Nothobranchius furzeri: one gene and its partners. The protein of the gene in region 1 binds, or shares a complex with, the protein of each later gene. Links are inferred from orthologs where the notes say so. Each region holds a gene or a part of one and is shown in the gene's direction. Other genes may lie near its edges. The genes, in order: gtf2a1, gtf2e2, gtf2f1 and polr2j.

Region 1 (5,640 bases):
TTAGCTGAACACTGACAAGTGACTCCATTATCTTGGAAAGCACACTTAAATTTGATATTGGCCTATAATTTGTCAAAACTGCTGGATCTCCTCCTTTTAATAATGGTAAAACATATGCTGACTTCCACTGTGATGGAATTTCTTTGGAGTTAATTGAAAGATTAAAAAGAATTGAAAGTGGCTCTGCCACATAATCCGCTGCCATCTTTAAAAAATAAGGTTCTATAAAATCAGGTCCAGGTGGCTTTCTGTGATCTATGTTTTTTAAAGCTTTGTGAACTTCATGCACTGTAAAAGGTTTAAAGTTAAAAGGAGCTCCAGAAAAATTTGGGGGTATTATACCAGATTTTATCAAAGGGGTTCCGACAAAATTAAACAGGGAACCCACCGAAAGAAAATGTTCGTTAAAACAATTTAAGATTTCGAGTCTGTTATAAATTGGAACTGAATCTCTAAGAACAAAAGTAGGAAGAGCCTGAGAGATCTTTTCCACAGCAAAAGACTTGATCACTTTCCAGAATCTCTGAGGATCTTTAAGATTTTCTGTGGTGACTGATAGAAAATATTCAGATTTTGCCTTTTTGATCAGGGAAGTACATTTTTTTCTCAGCTGCCTGAAAACAGACCAGTCAGTAGTCAACTCTGTTGTTCTTGCCTTGTTCCAAGCTCTATTTCGTTCATGTATTATGTTTGCCAATTCTGGTGAAAACCAAGGATTTTCACGGCCAAAACATCACATAAAAGTTTGAACAATAAACTTCAGGTCCCACCAGTTCTTGTTAAAGAAGCTGCCAAGATAAAACAATCTTTAAAAAGAAACCTTGGATCAAATCACGTGCAAAATCATTCATGATTGAAAGAGTTATGAGCTCCAGTAATTCTAAAGTGGCCTGGTGCTTTAGTCACTATCCGCTGTTGAAGGTGTGCTGATAGAAGACATCAGCATTGGTGGAGTAATCCATACGGATGGAGGAACCTAAACTCTGAACCCCAAGGCTAGCTCCGCCCAAAGCAGAGGACTGCTGTAAAGTCAGGAGGCTGTAGCCATGGAAACGGTCCTTCAACTTGTCTGATGATGCGGCTTTTTCCAGAACCTCTGTGAACCCTGCAGAAACACATAAAACATGCAGATGAGACTTCATCCAGAGGGTTTCATGGACCGTTATTACCATCAGCGACACAGACCCGGCTTCAGGAGAGACCAGCTCTTCCACACGGAGCCCACACACAGGACTGGCAGGCCGCGCTCACACCTTAATAACGCCTTAAACAACAAAACAGAAGAGAAATGCTCCAGTTTCATACATGCAAAAGTGAAACCAGAAGGCTTGTAGGTGTGGTCACCGGTTGAGCTGCAGGTAAAACTGACTCTACATGTTTAGCCAGAACTCTGCCAACCTGAGCGAACACATGCTGGCTGAGAGCATCCCCAGCCTCCGCACCTGGGACACAAAACACTCAGGATGACACTCTATTGTCCTAGAAACCTGAGCAGAAGTCCTGCTGCTGCTCACCTTCAGCCAGCTTCTTACAGAAGCCAGCAAAGTGGGACTTCTGGAAGTTCCTGCAGAGGTGAGGAAGCATTCCCATCAGATCCAACACCTGGGAGTAATGTTTTAATTATTCTGGGTTTAAAAGAACAGATTTGTCTTTGTGTTGCTGCTGTCTGACCTGGAAGTTCTCCTCCATGGCTTCTGTAACCCATGTGATGTCATAAGGAGGCGCCACCAAGTTGTCTTGAGCGTCAAACACCGTCTTCACGGCCAAACGAGCGATCCAGAAAGCTGAAGAAGAGATATGATTAAGATCACTGTGGTAACCACTGTGCCGTGCTGCGACCATGCTGACCACAGCCCTGCTGCTTCAAGGTCAAGAGCTGAGTCCGGTTGCAGGCCTCCTGCGACCATGCGCGAAGCGTTAAAATATGCCCTTCATGTCTTGGATGAAGACCCATCAAAGACTAACAGAGTTCTTCTCCTCTCTTCTGCAGAACAGAGTGCACATCCTCCTGCACCTGTTGAACCTGCACATGACTCAGTCGCAACGACGAGTCCTCCAAAACTGAAACATGCCCCAACGGTGTGTCCTGTGGCAACTGTGAGGTTTGGTGAGGTTGCTTCCGTTAGCTCTAAACCTCGAGCATCCAATGCACCTGTTAGCAGGTCAGGTAATCCTTACTTACCAGACAAACCTCCACTTAAGTTTTTCTGTGATATCATCCGTAAAGCTCCCAAGGAGAAACCTCACATCCCAGTGAACCTTGTGGGATCGCTTGGCTGTGGGGCTATCCTGGACTCTGGTTCGGACCTCACCATCATGTCCCGTTCTCTCTGGGAGAGTGTCTGCTTGGCTGCGTGCAGCTGAACAGGGTCGTGTCTTAACGCTCAGACCCTGCGCCGTGGATCTCAATCCTTTAACTCCAGATCCAATGGCCTTGTCGTCTGTAGCTTTCCTTGGAGTTTCGGTGGGTGGCATGTCTGCGAGACACCCAGTGTTTGTGTCTGACATTGAGGATTTTCCTTTTCTGTTGGGCGAAGAACTGCTCAAGCGCTTAAAGCGTTTCATTCTACTCGGTGGATAATTGGATAATAACATTTTTATTAGTAAAAAGGCTTGGAGAAAATAATAATAATAATAATAATAATAATAATAATGATATTTAAAATAGAAATACCCTAAACAAATCTATACTGTATTATCCAATTAAAGATTCATATTTTATCAATTTAACAAAATATTCTCACATTTAAAAGCATTAATTATTTCTATATAACTCAATATCAAATTATCAAATACTCCTCCTGGCAGTGAAATCGTATTCTTTAGCGTTAAACTAACTGAACCAATAATAATGCAGAGCACGCTGCATTAAAAAGCCTGGTAAACTTTAATGTCAGGCTTTCCGCTTTAAAACTACATTTCCCAGAAGCAGCCACCCTGATTAGTCATCAAATTCCGCAAAAATCTCGCGAGATTTTCTGTCTGAACCTGCCCTATGTCTCGCGCACTCGCAGCTCCTTCGCTCAGTATATAAAGCAGGACAGCGGCGAGAGGAAGACGGCTGGGGAGTCGCAGCCCGGGACTGTAAATAAGACCGTGAAAACTGTGTTTTATTTACAAAAGTGATGCCGGCTGTTCTAAACGATCTTTCCCAGTTGTTTTAAGTCTTTTTTTGGTCATTTTTGGCTCTGTCTCTCGCCTATTTCCGTGTGGTTTTTACACTACGCGTATAATGGCGAGCTCGGCTAACTCGAACCCAGTGGTAAGGATCAATCTCAACGGACTGCCAGTCGGGGGAAACGGGGGTAAAGTTGTCTAGAGGATGTGGAGGAGATGGGTTTTTTTCAGATGAATATGCTTGAACTAGCTCATCACTCCTGAGTGAAATTATAAAGGAAATACTAACTTTGAATAAGCCATAATTCGAAACTAGATATTCAAATGAAAACATGGCACTGAAGAAGCTTCTGCCGAGGCAAGTTTTGAATGATTTTACATTAAATAATGCTGGTTAAAGTGAAAATTTGTAATTACTTCAGGTTGAGACTTTGTTTAGCGCTAGTGTGATTTATCAGTGGCTGTTACGAGTCTTGGTTTATCATTTGGAGTCAGTGTTTGATCTTAGTGCCGTTCATTTAGCCCAGGGTGGATTATTGGACGAATTTGTTAGCCAGCTGACGTATTTGAGCTTAAATATTGGAAACCGCACATCTAATCAACAGACGTACCCAAAGCACATCGTCAACATCCACTTCCAAGTAAATTCAACTAGAGGATCTGATATTAAAAAGCCATTTTAGCGCAAAGTCTTGGACGCAGTCCGCGGCGCTGCCTCGTCGTGGTCCACCATTCCAGGACCAGAGGCGCAGAAAAGCGTCCCGAAACCCATTTTTGACCCATGATATCTCCGATGTCCTGCTCCCAAAACAAAGCCACCGAGTCAAAACTGGCAATTAAACGCATAAAACGAGAGCCTCTTTCTTTATTTGGCCTCATTTCGCTGAAAGAAAACGGCTCTGTGAGCGGGGCCGCTCCGTAAAATGGCTTCCACCTCTCCCGTCTCGCTCGGTTCTGGCCCTCCTCCCTGCCGGTGGCTGGCTTTATACCGCCATATTGGCTGTCTAATATAGACTGCTGGGATGGGACGGTGCTACACGACGCTACGTCACCGGCCCGCATATAAACACTTCACTGAGCTTTAATTTGTGGAGGAACCGACTGTCCGAGGGGGAGGGAAGGACGCACCGAGGTGTCCACCGCGGACATCGAGGCAGGGCGGTATCTTGGCTGGAAAGTCTCCGCAGACTTGAACGCTACGGTTGAGCTAGTAACGCAGTCCCGGCGGACATCTATGTAATTGTTTATGTTGACAGACGCGGTTGTGGATAAGATCCGGATGCTGAAGCACAGTTTGGATTATAATGGAGCTGTGAAACATTAATCTTGATTTATGCCAGGGGCGTATCTGAGATTTTTCAGGGTACGGGGCCCATCAAGGGGCCACAAAATTTATAGAAGAGCCAAGTATTAGTTCAGTGCCCTTAGGACAGGATTGCTTTATTTGTCATTGAACCAGCGTCTTGGTGCGATGAAATGTAGTTTCAGTACAACCTCTCCAAGATCAGACCGGTAATGCAAATATGTAAAAATAAGTAAGTGTGTGTGTGTGTGTGTGTGTGTGTGTGTGTGTGTGTGTGTGTGTGTGTGTGTGTGTGTGTGTGTGTGTGTGTGTCCGGTTTTAAAGTACTTTAAAGGTACAATATTAAGGGATTTTACAGTCAAATAATCATGTTGGAAAGAAGGTAACATTGACACAAATTTCATCCTCATGAAGTTAAAGATGTCATGAGCCGGACAGGAAGTGACAAGTGCGTCTGGTATATTTCAAAATAAAACCTGTGTCACATTATTTTTGCTGGCTTTTGTTTTATTATTGATGGCAGGGATATTAGTTTAGTGTATGATAGTTCATTAGTGTCGTTACAGGTGTGCCTTTAAATGTATTGTGTAGGACTTCCGCAAATGACGAATCGTGTCATGCCTAAAAGTGGCTTACTGCACCAGATGCTGTAAAATACCCATCATTAAGTTTGAAATGTGATAAGTTATGTGGCATTTAATAAAGACAAGATGATAGGTTATCAATAAACTTATAATTTACTTTGTAACCTGTTAAAACAAATGCTACACAGTAGGGTTGCAAATGTATCACCGCGATGTCAGTATGTGCAACACGCATATCGACAATAATGGAAATAAATCACAACGAAAGGTCAGCACAAATGTTTGTTAAACATAATGCATTTTGTCAAACGGAAGCATGATGTTTTAGACAAATCACACAAAGCTCTTCACCCATTTGGCCAATCGGGTCGGTTCTCATAGGTTATATGCCCACCTCGAAGGTGGACGGCACTTAATCTGGATGGATAGCAACAACCAGAGTTAGCCTCTATCTGCTGATTCAGGGATCTACTGATTGCCATTTCTTATTCATTTATTTATTTGTTTTAGAATATTTTGTTCCTGAGATGTTTTTATTTATTGCAAGTAGGGTTGTCACGGTGTGAAAATGTAACCTCACGGTTATTGTGAACAAAATTATCACTGTTTTCGGTATTATCGCGGTATTTTTTTAAG
Region 2 (4,891 bases), on another chromosome or scaffold:
CTGGGGAAAAATATCACAATATATTGCCATATCGATATTTTCTTACATCCCTAGTTTAGATAGTAATTTGCTGTCTTGTAAAAGATCTTTCTGTCTCTGAACTGTGTCTATTCCCATATACGTGTGTGTGTGTGAACATGCATGCTCCAAACACACACTTGTGTGCAGAGACCTCGGTAGCTGACCCAGATTACTTCAGGATGAGGAGCTCAAGTGTTGCTGCTGATAATGAACCTGTCTTCTTGGGTTACAAGTCTTGTTGCTCTTGCTTAAGATCCTAAAACTGTCATGTGAATCAATCAGATTATTTATAAAGCGCTTTTCAAACAAAGTGCTTTACAAAATGACCCCAGATTCCCATAACAGGTTAAAAACATTAACAGACATATGCAAGCACACGCACACACACACACACACACACAGACTCACACACACACACGCACACAAGTAAAAATTATATTAGGCTGAGTCCAGATGAGCCAAGTAAGGTAACGCAAGGAAACGCCATCAGAGGAGCCGTCTGTCCCGGCAGCATCAGGTGTTCCACACTAAGTCAGGGCGCTCAGTGGAGGGGGAGCATAGCCCCCCACCTATAGAGCGGCCAGGAAGCTACAGTCGACCACCGCTCCCGGGGCAGAGGGCCCCCACAGAGGAAGTATTTTTGAAGAATATCAATGCTTAAATTAGGCATTGCCCATTTCTAGATGAAAGCCATCTTCACTCGTATTATTTACGGTACGGCTCCCATCTACCTGAATCCTCTTGCAAAGGCTTATGTCTCGGCCCGGCCGCTCCGGTCATCACAGGATGGTCGGCTAGCAGTGCCTACACCACGCTCAGGACAATCCAGACTCTTCTCATGCATCGTTCCACAAATGTGGAATGACCTTCCAAGCACTACCAGAACTGCGGCTTCCTTTTCAATTTTCAAGAAACTCCTGAAGACCCTGCTCTTCAGAGAGCATCTTCTAAACTAGCACCCTCCCTGCACCCGTCCCCCCTCTCTACCGTCCACTCCTTGTTCCCTCCTCTCCATGACTGATGTCAATGTTGTTGTTGTTATTGTTGTTGTTAGCCTCAAGGGCAACATGCTGATTATCACTTGTAAGTCGCTTTGGACAAAAGCGTCTGCTAAATACATAAACATATTTTTTTGCATTAGGAGTGAGTGATTGGGCAAAAACATATGTCACAATATATGTTGTGACAGTTTTTAATTTTAGATGCCAAACTTGGCGTTTCGTGACCCACAGCAGGGTCCTATTATTTCCATCCTCGTCTGTTTATTTTATTTTGTTATTCAAGGTCAAGTTGTACATCTTATTTCTAACTTTCACAACCGCTGTCATAAATGATGCTGCCCTTCCTTTACTCTGACAGATCGGTAACATGTTCTAACTGTTAACAATCTGGTATCATTTAGATACACGTCTAAAAGAAGTCCGGTTGTCAGAATCAGCCCAAATTCACTTACTGGCCAATTTAAAAAATGAACCTTTTTTCCTTTATTTGGTCCATGAACCAAGCAGAAGTAAAGAATTGAGACACTTTTCTTGTTCTGTATGAGGAAGTACCAATTTACGCAAAAGATTTTTATCTTTTTAAAACTTATTTTTCTAGAATCATATGTTTTTAGGGTAATCAGAATTTAAATGGCAATAATGAAAATTGAAAATGGGTTTCAAAACTAAAATCTGTGCAGTTCTAGCGAATCATCCAGCCTAACTGAAAACATTAACATGATGGCAGTTATTAGACAGAACTGTGTGTGGTTTTAGTTTCTTTCATTAAAGACAAATACAAAGGAAGTACTTCTATTTAGGAACTGTTAGAACGTAAACTACTCGTATAGTAAAATCAGAGTCTAGATAGAAACATATTTTAGGTTTGTGTTGAGAATTTCTTACAGCTGCTCTAACAGATAAAGCAGTGATGCTCATGAAAACACACACATTCTGATGTTTGTTATTCGAGCAGGGAAGAGTGCAGACAGGTCCATGTTTATTTAATCCAGATGTTTTTTATGCAGTTCTAGGCCTCAGGATCTGACCTGACAAATTCAACCCTTTTTTTTTTTTTTTTTTTTGCTAAATATGAGGATTTGGTTCAAGAGATCCAATCAGAGGGGTTGGGTTAGTAAAACATGTTTTTTGCATGTAAGCATTTGTTAAGATTCATCTACTAAATGCTGGAAAACACACTGCCGTAGCTCCAGACTGAAGCCAAGATTATTTCCTTGGATTTTTATACATAATTTAATCAACATTTGGTTCATCCATCCCTGAAAAATAAAGCCACTCACCTGCGTGCCTGGCTCTGTCTTTTGAAGATGCAGGTTAACGGATCACTCCCCTGCTTCTGGCTCTCTGTCTTCCTCTCTCCCTCGCCCACAGTCACGCATCGACCTGTTCTTGGTGCACTCGCGCACTTCCAGTCGTCATCCGTGCGTCCGCTCCCCTTCTTCTCCTCCCTTCTCCTCCATCACCATCACTCTTGCAGCTCTTCATGTCTCCACTGAACACATTGAGCTGATCATTGGCTCTCTACTTTTACCCCACCCCAGCGCCATTCGCTAGTGGCCCTGTCAGGTTTCAGCACCCAGCCCACTGTGCAGCGAACAGCCACAGAGCCCCCACGCCCACAGCATGAATCATTCATGATTCAGTGTCTGTTTCCAGCTTTTATTGGTGAATGCTCAGTCCAGACCTGGCCAACGGAGGAGGGAAGCATGAAAATATTCAGCAGCTCTGTGGTTTCTGTGTTCATGCCGAATGCTTTATGTTCACCACAGTAAATTCTCATGTAATAAACACATTTTCCTTCCTTTTCTCTGCAGAATCCAGTAATGGAAACATCAACATTAAAGCAAGCTCTGGGTACAAGTTTGGCTGCCTGGCCAAAATTGTTAATTACATGAAGGTAACCAACATTTGAAGACAATTTTAGGGACAGAAATCTCTGTTGACACTAGCATCCAATTGAATGTATTGTATGCATTCACAAATGAGACAATGGGAGTGTTTTTGTCTCATAGACTCGGAAAACACCTTCTGCAGAGCTATTAGACTGTCGTCGTGACCTTCAAAGCTCCACCAAAACGTGATTTGTTGTGTATTGTATCAGCTGAATGAGTCAGTCGTGTTCGCTGTGTTAACATTTGGTCTCGAGGCTTTCTTTGGGTACATAAACAGCTTGTTTATCTTGCTGTGGCTCTATCAAATCGCTATCTGACACACACTCCACTTACCACTCTTCTGTGATTGTGGGCACTTTTTGTGCCATCTGCTGAAAGTTTTAAATTGCACACGACATTTTAAAAGTGCAATTGAAGGCTTAACAAATTTTTCAGCTGTCAGTGTTAGGTAAAGAGGAATAAACCCATCTCTCAATTTCCATCATGGATATCATAAAGCTGATAACCATATTTGAAATTCTGCCTTTCTCTCACAGACGAGGCACCAAAATGGGGACACACACTTCCTGACTCTAGAAGAGATCCTGGATGAGACCAAACTTCTTGACATCAGTATGAAGCAGAAACAGTGGCTTATGACCGAGGTGAGCTCCTGACATGATCTCTTCCACTTTTGTTAAATATGTTTAAAACTGAAAAGATGAACTAGGAAAAGAGACTAAAGCTTGTATCTCACTGGGGTGCCACTGGGGGCAACACTTATTTGCTATAAAAATGCAATTTTTTTGTGAAATCATATTTAATTTGTGAGAAAAAAATACATTCATGTTAAATTTTAAAAATGGCTGGGTAACACAGGGCATATTTGCAACTAAATAGTTGTTCCGATAATAGATATGTATTGTAAGTATACAGCTTTGTTCACTCAGTAAAAAGTTGAGCTACTACCTCTTATTATTTTTTGTCTTTTAAACATCAAAGTAAGTACATTTTATTTATATAGCACTCATCACAGAAAGAGAATCACAAAGTGCTTCACGTAGATAAGAAAGAAAATGAGTCATATGGTCATAAAATCATAATGATCAAATCATAATGATTTTAATCAAAACAGAAATAAATTAAAACCAGAAAAAACTAAGTTATAAAGTTATAAAATGATCATAAATATCATAAAACAAATGAAATATGATTATAAGTCTGAATTTAAAAAGAAGACAAAAGTTTTAGGTTAAAGCAGCTTAAAATAAAATAGTCTTCAGCTGTTTTTTAAAAGTTTACCAGACTGAATACTATGGAAGGATAAAGGAAGATCATTCCAAAGTCGGGGGGTGACAGCCTGGAAGGAGCGATCACCTCGACTGGTCTTTGGTACTTCTAGAAGGTTCTGGTTTGTGGACCTGAGCGGTGGGGTTGAAGCAAGGTGGTCAAGGTTTTTTTTGTTAAAACATGTGAAGAGTGTGTTACAGTAATCTAGACGAGAGGAGATAAAGGCATGGATAACTAATTCAAGTTCATGTTTTGACACCAACCTTCACAGTTTGGAGATATTTCTTAAGTGGTGAAAATGTTTCGGACCAATGTTTTTGAGTGGTTTGAGTGGCCTTGAAGAGAAGAAACAACACCCAAATTCCTCAAGTTTAACTTGACATCAGAGGTTAAATGACCAAGTTGTTTACTAGTCAGGGGAACCATGCTCTCACTAGTCAGGGGAACCATGCTCTTGGGGACAATGAGCAGACATTTGGTTTATCCTCATCGGCCCTCTCACTTCTGCCTTGGGGGATACCGCAGGGTTCTATACTGGGACCGTTGCTGTTTCCCATTTATATTCTCCCATTGGGGGACATTCTACAAAAGTTTGGAATTGGATTCCATCTCTTTGCCGACAACTGCCAATTGTACTTACCTCTAGATGGCGCCGGTGATCACACGATAAAGATTTTTGAGATTGTTTGGCAGAAATTAAGATATGGT
Region 3 (5,617 bases), on another chromosome or scaffold:
GGCTCTTGGGGGCCTGCGTCTGTGGCAGAGGAGGCAGCGACGATGGGCTCTTGGGGGCCTGCGTTTACGGTAGAGTAGCTCTACAGGCTGGGCCGGAGATGAAGTCTCTGCAGGCTTGGCCGGGGACAAAGTCTCTGCAGGCTGGGCCAGTGGCAAAGTCTCAGCAGGCTGGGCCAGGGACATAGTCTCTGCAGGCTGGGCCGGGGGCGAAGTCTCTGCAGGCTGGACCGGGGACAAAGTCTCTGCAGGCCTGGCCGGGGACATAGTCTCTGCAGGCTGGGCCGGGGACAAAGTCTCTGCAGGCTGGGCCGGGGACAAAGTCTCTGCAGGCTGGACCGGGGACAAAGTCTCTGCAGGTTGGGCCGGGGACATAGTCTCTGCAGGCTGGGCCGGGGACAAAGTCTCTGAAGGCTGGGCCGGGGACAAAGTCTCTGCAGGCTGGACCGGGACAAAGTCTCTAGGACGGACTGGATTGGAGCCTCGTGGAAGGGCTGGACCGGATACGGTGCGACCTCTGGAACCACCACTGGAACTGGAGACAGCGTCGACCACGGGACTGGAGACGACGGAGACGTCGGACCAGAGGGAGCGTCGACCTCTGGAGTGGAGAGAGCGTCGACCTCTGGAGTGGAGAGAGCGTCGACCTCTGGAGTGGAGAGAGCGTCGACCTCTGGAGTGGAGAGAGCGTCGACTTCAAATGAGGTGTCGACTTCAGATGAGACGTCGACTTCGGATGAGGCGTCGACTTCAGATGAGGCGTCGACTTCGGATGAGGCGTCGATTTCGGATGAGGCGTCGACTTCGGATGAGGCGTCGACTTCGGATGAGGCGTCGACTTCGGATGAGGCGTCGACTTCGGATGAGGCGTCGATTTCAGATGAGGTGTCGACTTCAGATGAGGAGTCGACTTCAGATGAGGCGTCGACTTCAGAGGAGGCGTCGACCCTTGGACAGGAAGAGGCATCGACCCTTGGACAGGAAGAGGCGTCGACCTCAGAACAAGAGGAGGCGTCGACTTCAGAACACGAGGAGGCGTTGACTTCAGAACATGAGGAGGCGTCGACTTCAGAACACGAGGAGGCGTCGACTTCAGAACATGAAGAGGCGTCGACCACAGGACAGGACAGGGTGTTGATCACCATCGACTTCTGGTCCGGTTACCCGACACCAACGAAGGCCCCGAGGCACAGTTGTCCTTTTAGTTTCTCACAATAAGAAACCAAGGTTTTTATTCAAAAAGGATGAAAAAAGATTGATCCAGACAGAATCACCCCGACGCAGCGGGTAAAAAACACAGAGCTCAACCGAACTCCCAGCCTTAGAACTCTCGGGCCCCCCTTTTTATCTCTCCGCTTCCCCCTCCTTCTTGTCTCCTGTTCGTCTCCATGGTAACTCTTCCCGCTTCATGAAGCACTCTGTCCGGTCCACTTGTAACTCCTCCCAACATCTTTTCAGGTCAAGAAAGGTTATATCCACAACATGATTCTTTTAACCATATCAGCAGAGTGAAGGCACACCATTAATTTACGACAGCACTGATTAGGAGTCTCCAGCCAGGACACACACACACACACACACACACACACACACACACACACACACACACACACACACACACACACACACACACACACACACACACACACACACACACACACACACACACACACACACAAACATGAGAAGAGGAGGTAACAGGCCTTTAGCTTGGTTTCACACACACACACGGATACACCTTGTAGAGCCTAGAATTGATTTCACATAATGAAAGGTTTGATTGCTGATTAAATGTTGAAATGACTTTCCACAGTACCCGGCCAGCTCTGTTGATGTTAATAAAAATTCTTAAACAAACGCTTACACAACAGACATGTAATTTATGCCCCAATTATTTTGTAATAATCAACTAAAACTGCACAAGGTTGTTGTGAACGGTCATTCACAAAAGTATACATCTGATATCTGCAATATGAGAATCTTGAGAAGGGTTGAAGGCAGACTTTTGCTTTGTTTCTCGTTATTTGTCGCTCAAATGTAGTGGATGCATGTGTGAAAATACGTAATGATATTTATCCTGGTGTGTGTGTATGTACAGTCTATGGTGTACACGCGCATTTGTTTATTTATTTTTACGTGGTTACGTCATAGACAGAAAACGTTAGACCTCACGGCTACCGTAGTGAACGGCTAGGAACTCTCTTGATGGTAAATGTTTCCTACCGGACTCATCGACTGGCGGAACAAATAGCATTCTGGTAAATATTCAGTTCGTTTCTTTACTTACTTACTAACGTGTTGCTTTTGGTGTTTTAAACAAGGTGTCTGAGTAAATATTACTGTTTAGCGCATAGGTGGTTGAGTTATGTTAGTATTAGGCCTGTTTGTTGTTTCGGTTTGATGACGTTTTTTTGATACCGTTTGTTTTAGCAACAGAAGCTAACATTACTCGAGCAAACGTTGTCAAATGTTGCAATGCCTTTTTGTATTTTCAAATTAACCTCTCTGGTGACCTTTTTCACCCCAGAAAAGTGTTTGTCAGAAAAAATTAGTGTTTTTCTCTGTAAAGTTTGGTATTTACAAAGATGATGTCTGTTAGCAACATTCACCTTAAATCATGATCGCCTTCTGCAAAATATCTGAGCCTTTAAGAAAGTTTGTATTGAGCCAGATTTTCACCTGTCAGACTACTGCTTGAGATTTACCGTTGGCCGCTGAATTTAGCACAATTGTTTCATGTAACCTTTTGTGTTTTCATTCTATTTGGGCGTTTTCAGCGTGTCAAATAGACGGCCATGACGTCACTGGTAAGTACATTCCTAATTAGAACCTTTTTTTATATTTAGAATGCTAGAATGCATTATTCTGGTAATCTGACTCATTTTTGTTGAATAAACAAATAAACATTTGTGCTCACGTGTTAATCTCTGGATTACAGTGGTAGAAATTGAAATTTGCAGAGACAAATCGTTGTTTATTTACAGGGGAGCAGCAGTTCTTCAACCACAGAGTACACTGTGAGAGTCCCCAAGTAAGTAACACATGTATTAAACCACATGATGATCGGTGTGTGGATACAGATGGGATTGTTATCCTTTATCTAAAGAGGCCCAGAGTGGAGAAAAGCAAATTAATGTAATGATCTTTTTGTTTGTTCCATAGAAACACCAGCAAGAAGTACAACATAATGGCTTTCAATGCAGGAGACAAAGTAAATTGTTCTGCCTGGACACAGGTGGGTTTCAAGCTTTTGTATGAAAACATTTATTTTCTAAAAATTGGAGAGATATTTACAATCATAATGTTGGAATCGCTTATTTTCTATTTTCACCTTAACTTTTCAGGCTCGTATGGAGAGAGACATGAGCGCTCGGCGGATATACGGGGAGGAGGAGACGCCTGAAAGTGGTGCGGGCAGTGAGTTTGGCAAAAAACAGCGTGAGGAAGCACGACGGAAGAAGTTTGGTATTGTGACCCGTGAGTTCAAAGCTGAGGACCAGCCTTGGATCCTGAAGGTCAATGGCAAAGCTGGCAAAAGGTGAGAAAAGGGGGATGTTTTAGTGAAAATGTCAGTAAATCACAAGTTTCAGAAATGAAGTGTGAATTTTAGACAGAAATTAATTGGTTTGTTTTATTTTATAATCCTAAAAATTGCCTCCAAGTTTGAGTTCATGTCATTCCATCCACTTTTTCCCTTTTTTATAATATGCTACAAATATTATTACTTACATTTTTGTCAACGAAAAGGTAATTATTTTTGTCTTAAATATATACTTTAATTTCTAAAAAAAAATATTTTTACTGTTGGCTAGCAGACTAAACTATTTTCTTTGTTTTTCTGTGTACACAGGTTCAAAGGGGTAAAGAAGGGTGGCGTCACAGAAAATGCTTCCTACTACATTTTCACACAGTGTCCTGATGGGGCGTTTGAAGCCTTTCCTGTTCATGGGTGGTACAACTTTACACCACAGGCAAAACATCGGACGTTGACTGCTGAAGAGGCTGAGGAAGAGTGGGGCAGGTGAGGAAAACAAAAAGGAAGGAACAAACTAATAATTCATCAGCATCTCTTAAAGTTGCATGCTCTGCTGCTGCAGGCGGAACAAGGTGGTAAATCACTTCAGCATCATGCTTCAGAGACGTCTTCGGGAGCAGGATCGTGGCGACGATGAAGAAGATGAGTCAGGAAAATCTGGGAAGAAGAAAAAGAAGGGCGGTGGGAGAGGCGGCGACCTGCTCATTCACGATCTGGAAGACGACCTGGAGATGAGCAGTGATGACAGTGACAGCAGCGTAGGAGAAGGTACAGAGAAGAAAACAGGATGTGGTGTAATTATGATTTTCACATCTTTACTTTTCTAAACTTGAAACATTTTTTTAAACGTGTCAGACGGTGCGAGCAAAGCAAAAACGAAGAAGGCCGCGGGGAAATCGAAAACAAAGAAGAAGCAAAAGGGTGGTGAAAAAGACGCCCTTGAAGACAGTGATGATGGCGATTACGAGGGTCTGGAAGTGGATTATATGTCAGATGAAAGCAGGTGAGATCTTATTACCCTACCACCCCCTCCCCGTTTACCCCATTCCCTTATTAGCTTTAGTTCATGCTAGCATGTTAGCTATGTACTCATGTCCTAGTACTATCCTGCATGTTTTAGATGTTTCTCTGCTCCAGCTTATCAGATTTAGTGTTTGGATTTATTACTTATCATGTCCTACAGAGGTCTGATTCTAGTCAGGTGTTTTAAAGGTACAACATGTTAGAATATTACAGTGAAATAATCACAAAACAGGCTAATGTCTCAATCCTGTCTGAAGGAAAGCTGCACTGAAACATGTCAGATGTGAAGAGGGACATAGTCATCGTTTACAATCTGTCCCGCCGTCATACTTCCTGGTTGCAGAGCCAATCATATGTGAACCTGTAGAGTTGCAAATCTGCCAACGATGCTACACCAGCATTTGTAATTCGACACTAGCAGACAAAAAGCTCCAAAGTTGTGTTGAGAACCAAAGCCAGTTAACAGGAGCAACCCAGAAGTTATTTCTTGTACCCTTAAGAAGCCACAGCATCTTTTTGCTTTACTCTAATATTGGGGGAAAAAAAGGCTAGACGCTAACGTTGAGCTAACAATGCTAACGATGAAATTGACCTACTTGATATTACAGTTAAATGTATTTACCTACTTATCAACTTACTGCATTCGACTCGTCTTAACTCCTCATCTAGAATCTTCTGGTGCTGATCCGTGGCTGACGACAGCTGTTCAGAGCGGACATGTTTGTTATGAAACATGCTGTTCCCGCATGTGACCACAGAATGCTGTTGCTACTTTATGCACTTTAAGTAGAGAAAAGTCTCAAACTTCCACTATTTTCTGGTACAACTATCATTTATGACACAGTGTCATTAGAGATGCACTGATTTTGATAACAAGGCTTGTGTGTGTGTGTGTCTTTCTTTTAGAAATGGTTGTGTGTTCATGTGTTATTTTCTTTCCCAACAGCCCAGATGAAGACCAAGTTAACGAGAAACCCACCAGAGAGGAAGAGCATCCTAAAGGTTGGTGTGAGACGATACTGGTATTCTCCTGCAGGAGTTTTGTTTGTTTCTCATTGAAGT
Region 4 (5,040 bases), on another chromosome or scaffold:
AGGACAAAGATAGTATGTCTCTGCCCCCTCCTCAGGCCGGTAATATCCCGACAGCAGCCCCCTGGCTGGGCTCTCCTCGCCCCACAGAATGCTACCCCTCCACCATGGTCCACCTTTACCTGTGGAGCCCCCCATTACCGGGAAGCTCCCTGGCACACACACCTTTCCTCCGATGTGTTCCTGAGAGATCAACTGAACCTGGGTAAAAAAAGTCCCGACAGAGGAAACATATACGCTCGGTATTTGCTGGCAGAGCTCCATCTCCCCGGGGCTCTGACAGTCCCGCAGAGACGCAGCGGACCTGCTGACCCATGACTCCAGCAGGCCGGTTGCCCCCTCGTGCTGACACTGCAGGTGGGTCAGGTGAGCAGGTGCGGACTGGCTGAGGGGCATCATGCCATTTAACTGTCTTAAAGTCTCACTTTCTTCACTCATCAAGCTGCTTCTGAGCTCCGCCGGAGCGATGTTCCACTGGCGGAGTTTCCGCCGCAGCAACAGCGCGGGCCTTGACAGCAGACGGATCCACGAGCTGTCCTGGCTATCCTGTCCGACCGATGTGACCGCGGGGCCGGGTGGGTGGGACGAGCGTTTTCCTCCACACGTACATTCTTCGGCGTTTATGTTTCTGAACATTTTATCTACTTAAAGTGCACAAATGAATTTCCCTGAAACAGCAGCGGTTTTAGCAAGTTACACTGACAGCTGTCAAACCTCACTAGAACATGTTAAAGTGGCCGCCAGGAACCCAAAAGATAACGTCCATAAGCCCGGAGCCGGCGACATTCCGCTGAGAGTGGTGGTTAGACTTCCTCCGTGTGGTACCGGAGCTGGAAAACTGAGCCGAGCTGAACATGCTAGAGCCGTGAAACGATGATAAGTCCCAATGTGAAGCGGAAAAACGAGCCATCCTGTCGGGGCTTATCGCGGGTGGGAGGTTCTGCTGGGTTAGCAGGTTAGCTTAGCACGAGAAGCAAACGGCGGTTAGTTTACTTCCCAGCGACGACTTAAAATTATCGATTTAAATTCCGCTTTCTGGTTGGTTTCGTCGACTGTTGATGGAAGGGAGTTCTTCCCACCGGTAATACTGCCCGGTATCCGTTCAGAGAGGAGTTTTGGCCCCCGCACAACTCCGTGAGTCTGTCTATATGGCTGCAGTGGGAGATTTCATCAGAAAGTCAGAAGACCATCAGCAGAAGCCCCGCGTCTTCCTTTTCCGGGTAAACGGCAGACGGTTGGCGGCGCGGCACGGAGCGGCACGAACGCGCGGCAGAAGCGGAGGCGCGGAAAGTTTCTCCAGTTCTTTTTCAGAGGGAGCCATTTTTTATTTTACTCTCGATGCACTCCTACACGAATCTCATTAATATAAAGTAATTATTTATGCTATAGGAGGAAAAAATAGGACATGGCGTCACACGCTGTAAAGGTATAGCTCCTCTGAGTCATGGGTGCATTGAGGAGACCAGATGGTAACACCACCTTAAGGTGACATCTGGTACCATCAGGGGTGCCATGGGCAGCGTTTTGGCTAATCACCTGGTAAATTGCAGAAAAGCAGAGAGTGACACTGAAACGTGTGTTTCTGGTTAAAATGAACTGTGTTTGATGTATTTTGTTCAGGTCCTAGCTTTTATTAAACAAAAAAATGCTGCAAATTTTACATGAACCGTGTTTAGGTCAAACATGTATTATCCTAATATTGTGAAAGTAAACATTTTCTACGTGCTGCAAATTTCTATTATTGATTTAAATATGCAGTTTCGCTTATCGTGCTGCAGGTGGCGGTAATGCCACACAAAGCTGATTTCCTAACAGTCTTTAAACCAGACAAAGAAAGCTGAGCGGAAGTATCCTAGTGGTTCGGTTCGGGGTTCTTTGCTCCAGCACAAACATGAACGCACCTCCAGCCTTCGAGTCGTTTCTGCTCTTTGAAGGAGAGAAAAAGATCGGCATCAGTAAAGATACCAAGGTCCCGAACGCGTGTTTGTTCACTCTGAACAAGGAAGACCACACACTGGGGAACATCATCCGAGCGTAAGACACACACACACACACACACTCTGAGGAACATCATCCGAGCGTAAAACACACACACACATACACACACACACTGAGGAACATCATCCGAGCGTAAAACACACACACACACAGGGGAACATCATCTGAGCGTAAGACACACACACACACACACACACACACACACACACACACACACACACACACACACACACACACACGCACGCACGCACACACACACACACACACACACACAGGGGAACATCATCCGGGCGTAAGACACGCACACACACACACACACACACACACACACTGGGGAACATCATCCGGGCGTAAGACACACGCACTGGGGAACATCATCTGGGCGTAAGACACACACACACTGGGGCACATCATCTGGACGTAAAACACACACACACACACACTGGAGAACATCATCTGAGCTCAAGGACACAATTTGATATTGGAAAGAAAAAAAAACCTGACAGCAGCCGGCCTTCGCCTGTGGGAGGAGCTCTGACACAGGTGTCCTGTCTGGTGGCCCCTAATTGTGTGTTTTTGTGTGTCAGTCAGCTGCTGAAGGATCCTCAGGTTCTGTTCGCGGGTTACAAAGTTCCTCATCCTCTTGAGCACAAGATCGTCATCCGAGTGCAGACCACACCTGACTACAGTCCACAGGTAACCCATCAGGTCTTCAACACCAAATAAAGTAAAGATGGCTGTAGGGACTTCACCAGAGAAGTGAAGGAATGTGTGCATGCATATATATATATATATATATTTTTTTTTTTATATATATATTTTATTTAGGGTCCGTCGTATTGTCGAACCTCAGATTCAGGAGGACGAATGTGGTTTTCATCCTGATCGTGGAACACTGGGCCAGCTTTGTACCCTTAGGGGGGTCCTGGAGGGTGCGTTAGAGTTCACCCAGCCAATCTAAATGTGTTTGTGGATTTGGAGAAGGTGTTCGACTGTGTTCCTCAGGGGGCCCTGTGGGGGGTAGTCCAGGAGCATGGGGTACCAGGCCCTCTGACACGGGCTGTTAGGTCCCTGTATGACCGGTGTCGGAGCTTTGGTCCGCATTGCCGGCAGGACGCAAACCAACAGGAGTCAAGATGGTGTAAGCTGTGTTCTTAAACAAGATCATTTCTCATTGGTTTAGATAGAGGGGTTGGGGCATAAAACCTCTACTGGAGCCAGCCTCTGGAGGCTTTTCAGATCTTTCAGCTTCAACTTCTGCACTGTCCTCCAGCTGGTCTTTATACATGTTGGTGGTCTAAGCCTCATGATGCTGTTGGACCCAAGTGGGTCTGGATTTGTTTCTCATATGTTTTGTGTCTTGATTGGTTGAGACACAATAATGATAGAAATTGGAAACCTAACCAAATGTGATGTCATTTCCTCCACAGGAAGCATTCACCAATGCCATCACAGATCTGATCAGTGAGCTGTCTCTGCTGGAAGAACGCTTCAGAGTTGCCATCAAAGACAAACAGGAAGGCATCGAGTGACCCTGACCTCTGACCTCACCTCATTTTGTTGTTTTGTTTTTCTAAATAAACTTAAGATGTCAGATTCTGTGTTTAGTCAATACCTTTTACAAGTATTTCGACAAAATTGCCAAACACTATTAAAAATAGGGTTTGGAACTAGATCTGATCCCACTCAGATGTCCAAAGGAACAGCTGGTATGGAAATCTTCACCTGTTAATTCTAGCATTGATCAGCTGATCTTCAGGAAGTGATGTCACCTCTAAGAATTTAAACTATATCAAACAAAACAAAATAGTTGTCAATCAGATTTAATTGAATATTCTTTTAAAAGAAAAGCAGTAAAAAATAAAAAAAATCTGATTTTGTGATGTCACATGCCGTGTGGCCCCTGATCATGTGACCATCAGGGGTCAGAGTCTCTCTGAGCCTCCATGGCTCGCTGCATCTTCTCCACCATCCACGGAGGAACGGAGAACGGCTTCAACTCGTCCATCCTGACATCCGGACAGTCCCTAAAAGGGATGCAAGTTACCACGGCAACCACACACATCTCACCAGCTATCAACTACATCATCAGAACAACAAATGCTAGAATAAGGTCAATAAAACTGGTAGCTGGTTCTGTTCTAGTGATTAAACTGTTTTCTGCAGCTGGATCCAGAAGTTTGTGTTTCAGGTTGGATACTAACTTGTACTCATCGCTGTGAGACAAATCCTGGATGTCCTCTTCAATCAGAAGGTAAGCCTGCCGGTATGCACACACACACACACAATTGTTAAATAGGTTTTAAACTACCCATGATGCACTGCCACACAAACTTCATCTGATGACTGATTCAGGCGATCACCTGCAGTGATCAGGTCAGCAGCTAAAAGTGGGTGTGGCCATTTGACTGACGTGCGTGTGCAGATTCTCACCATCTTTCCTCCTGTTGCCCTCATGTGATGTCTCTCTGCCAACCACTGCTTATCCTTAGAATCTGCTGCATACTGAAACACACACACTTTTTTTTTTTTACTAATCACAGGAAACAGTCCCCTGACCCTTACTAGGTCCAGCAGACACCTGATGTCAGGAGTTACCTTGAACAGGTCAGCGTGTTTAATATAGATCCGTCCTCTGGTCCCACCCATCCCTAGTGCCCTGTGATGACATCACAGCAGCTGATGACTCACTTCTTTTGAGGCTGTTTGTGTTTGAGCATCAAAAGCATTTTGATCATATATGGAGTCATTAAAGATACTGAAACCTTTACCCGTCTGTTCAATTCCCTTGTCTGGGATGTGAACCTTTGCATGCATTACATTCTGTTTATCTTGTATTTATGTGAAAATAAGAATTTAACTTGGTGATGACTCACTTGTTGGCTCTGGACCCGAGAACAAATGTGCTGCCGTCGGTGAGTCTGGACGGATCCCACTGAAACAGATCATTCAGGTTTAGCACTAAAACTCACCTGTCTGCAGAGGACAGGTGGATTCAGGAAAAAGTGAATAAACATCAGTATCATCTTTTCTCAGCTGGTAATC

What was found.
Region 2: gtf2a1 (region 1) and gtf2e2 share a complex: the UniProt entries of both Homo sapiens proteins name them as parts of the TBP-based Pol II pre-initiation complex. The link is inferred for Nothobranchius furzeri from reciprocal best matches to the Homo sapiens genes GTF2A1 and GTF2E2.
Region 3: gtf2a1 (region 1) and gtf2f1 share a complex: the UniProt entries of both Homo sapiens proteins name them as parts of the TBP-based Pol II pre-initiation complex. The link is inferred for Nothobranchius furzeri from reciprocal best matches to the Homo sapiens genes GTF2A1 and GTF2F1.
Region 4: gtf2a1 (region 1) and polr2j share a complex: the UniProt entries of both Homo sapiens proteins name them as parts of the TBP-based Pol II pre-initiation complex. The link is inferred for Nothobranchius furzeri from reciprocal best matches to the Homo sapiens genes GTF2A1 and POLR2J.

What each region holds. Positions count from the first base shown.
Region 1 is NC_091742.1:19,636,826-19,642,465, forward strand, and holds the start of gtf2a1 (transcription initiation factor IIA subunit 1), read left to right. Parts: upstream 1-2,254; 5' UTR 2,255-3,232; coding exon 3,233-3,262; intron 3,263-3,728; exon of another isoform or gene 3,729-3,844; intron 3,845-4,501; exon of another isoform or gene 4,502-4,629; intron 4,630-5,640. Other genes in the region: N-acetyl-D-glucosamine kinase, read right to left, coding at 906-1,105, 1,186-1,264, 1,345-1,442, 1,515-1,602, 1,672-1,842. UniProt on the Homo sapiens protein: TFIIA is a component of the transcription machinery of RNA polymerase II and plays an important role in transcriptional activation. TFIIA in a complex with TBP mediates transcriptional activity.
Region 2 is NC_091747.1:77,634,255-77,639,145, forward strand, and holds part of gtf2e2 (transcription initiation factor IIE subunit beta), read left to right. Parts: intron 1-2,302; exon of another isoform or gene 2,303-2,443; intron 2,444-2,836; coding exon 2,837-2,919; intron 2,920-3,450; coding exon 3,451-3,558; intron 3,559-4,891. UniProt on the Homo sapiens protein: Recruits TFIIH to the initiation complex and stimulates the RNA polymerase II C-terminal domain kinase and DNA-dependent ATPase activities of TFIIH. Both TFIIH and TFIIE are required for promoter clearance by RNA polymerase.
Region 3 is NC_091752.1:52,162,246-52,167,862, reverse strand, and holds the start of gtf2f1 (general transcription factor IIF subunit 1), read left to right. Parts: upstream 1-2,164; 5' UTR 2,165-2,255; intron 2,256-2,774; 5' UTR 2,775-2,792; coding exon 2,793-2,804; intron 2,805-2,981; coding exon 2,982-3,028; intron 3,029-3,159; coding exon 3,160-3,232; intron 3,233-3,341; coding exon 3,342-3,535; intron 3,536-3,847; coding exon 3,848-4,018; intron 4,019-4,094; coding exon 4,095-4,300; intron 4,301-4,387; coding exon 4,388-4,535; intron 4,536-5,501; coding exon 5,502-5,557; intron 5,558-5,617. UniProt on the Homo sapiens protein: TFIIF is a general transcription initiation factor that binds to RNA polymerase II and helps to recruit it to the initiation complex in collaboration with TFIIB. It promotes transcription elongation.
Region 4 is NC_091743.1:77,207,243-77,212,282, reverse strand, and holds polr2j (DNA-directed RNA polymerase II subunit RPB11-a), read left to right. Parts: upstream 1-1,670; 5' UTR 1,671-1,888; coding exon 1,889-2,031; intron 2,032-2,582; coding exon 2,583-2,691; intron 2,692-3,425; coding exon 3,426-3,527; 3' UTR 3,528-3,589; downstream 3,590-5,040. Other genes in the region: protein phosphatase 1 regulatory subunit 15B, read right to left, coding at 1-633; deoxynucleotidyltransferase terminal-interacting protein 1, read right to left, coding at 3,914-4,022, 4,200-4,255, 4,429-4,500, 4,594-4,654, 4,872-4,930. UniProt on the Homo sapiens protein: Core component of RNA polymerase II (Pol II), a DNA-dependent RNA polymerase which synthesizes mRNA precursors and many functional non-coding RNAs using the four ribonucleoside triphosphates as substrates.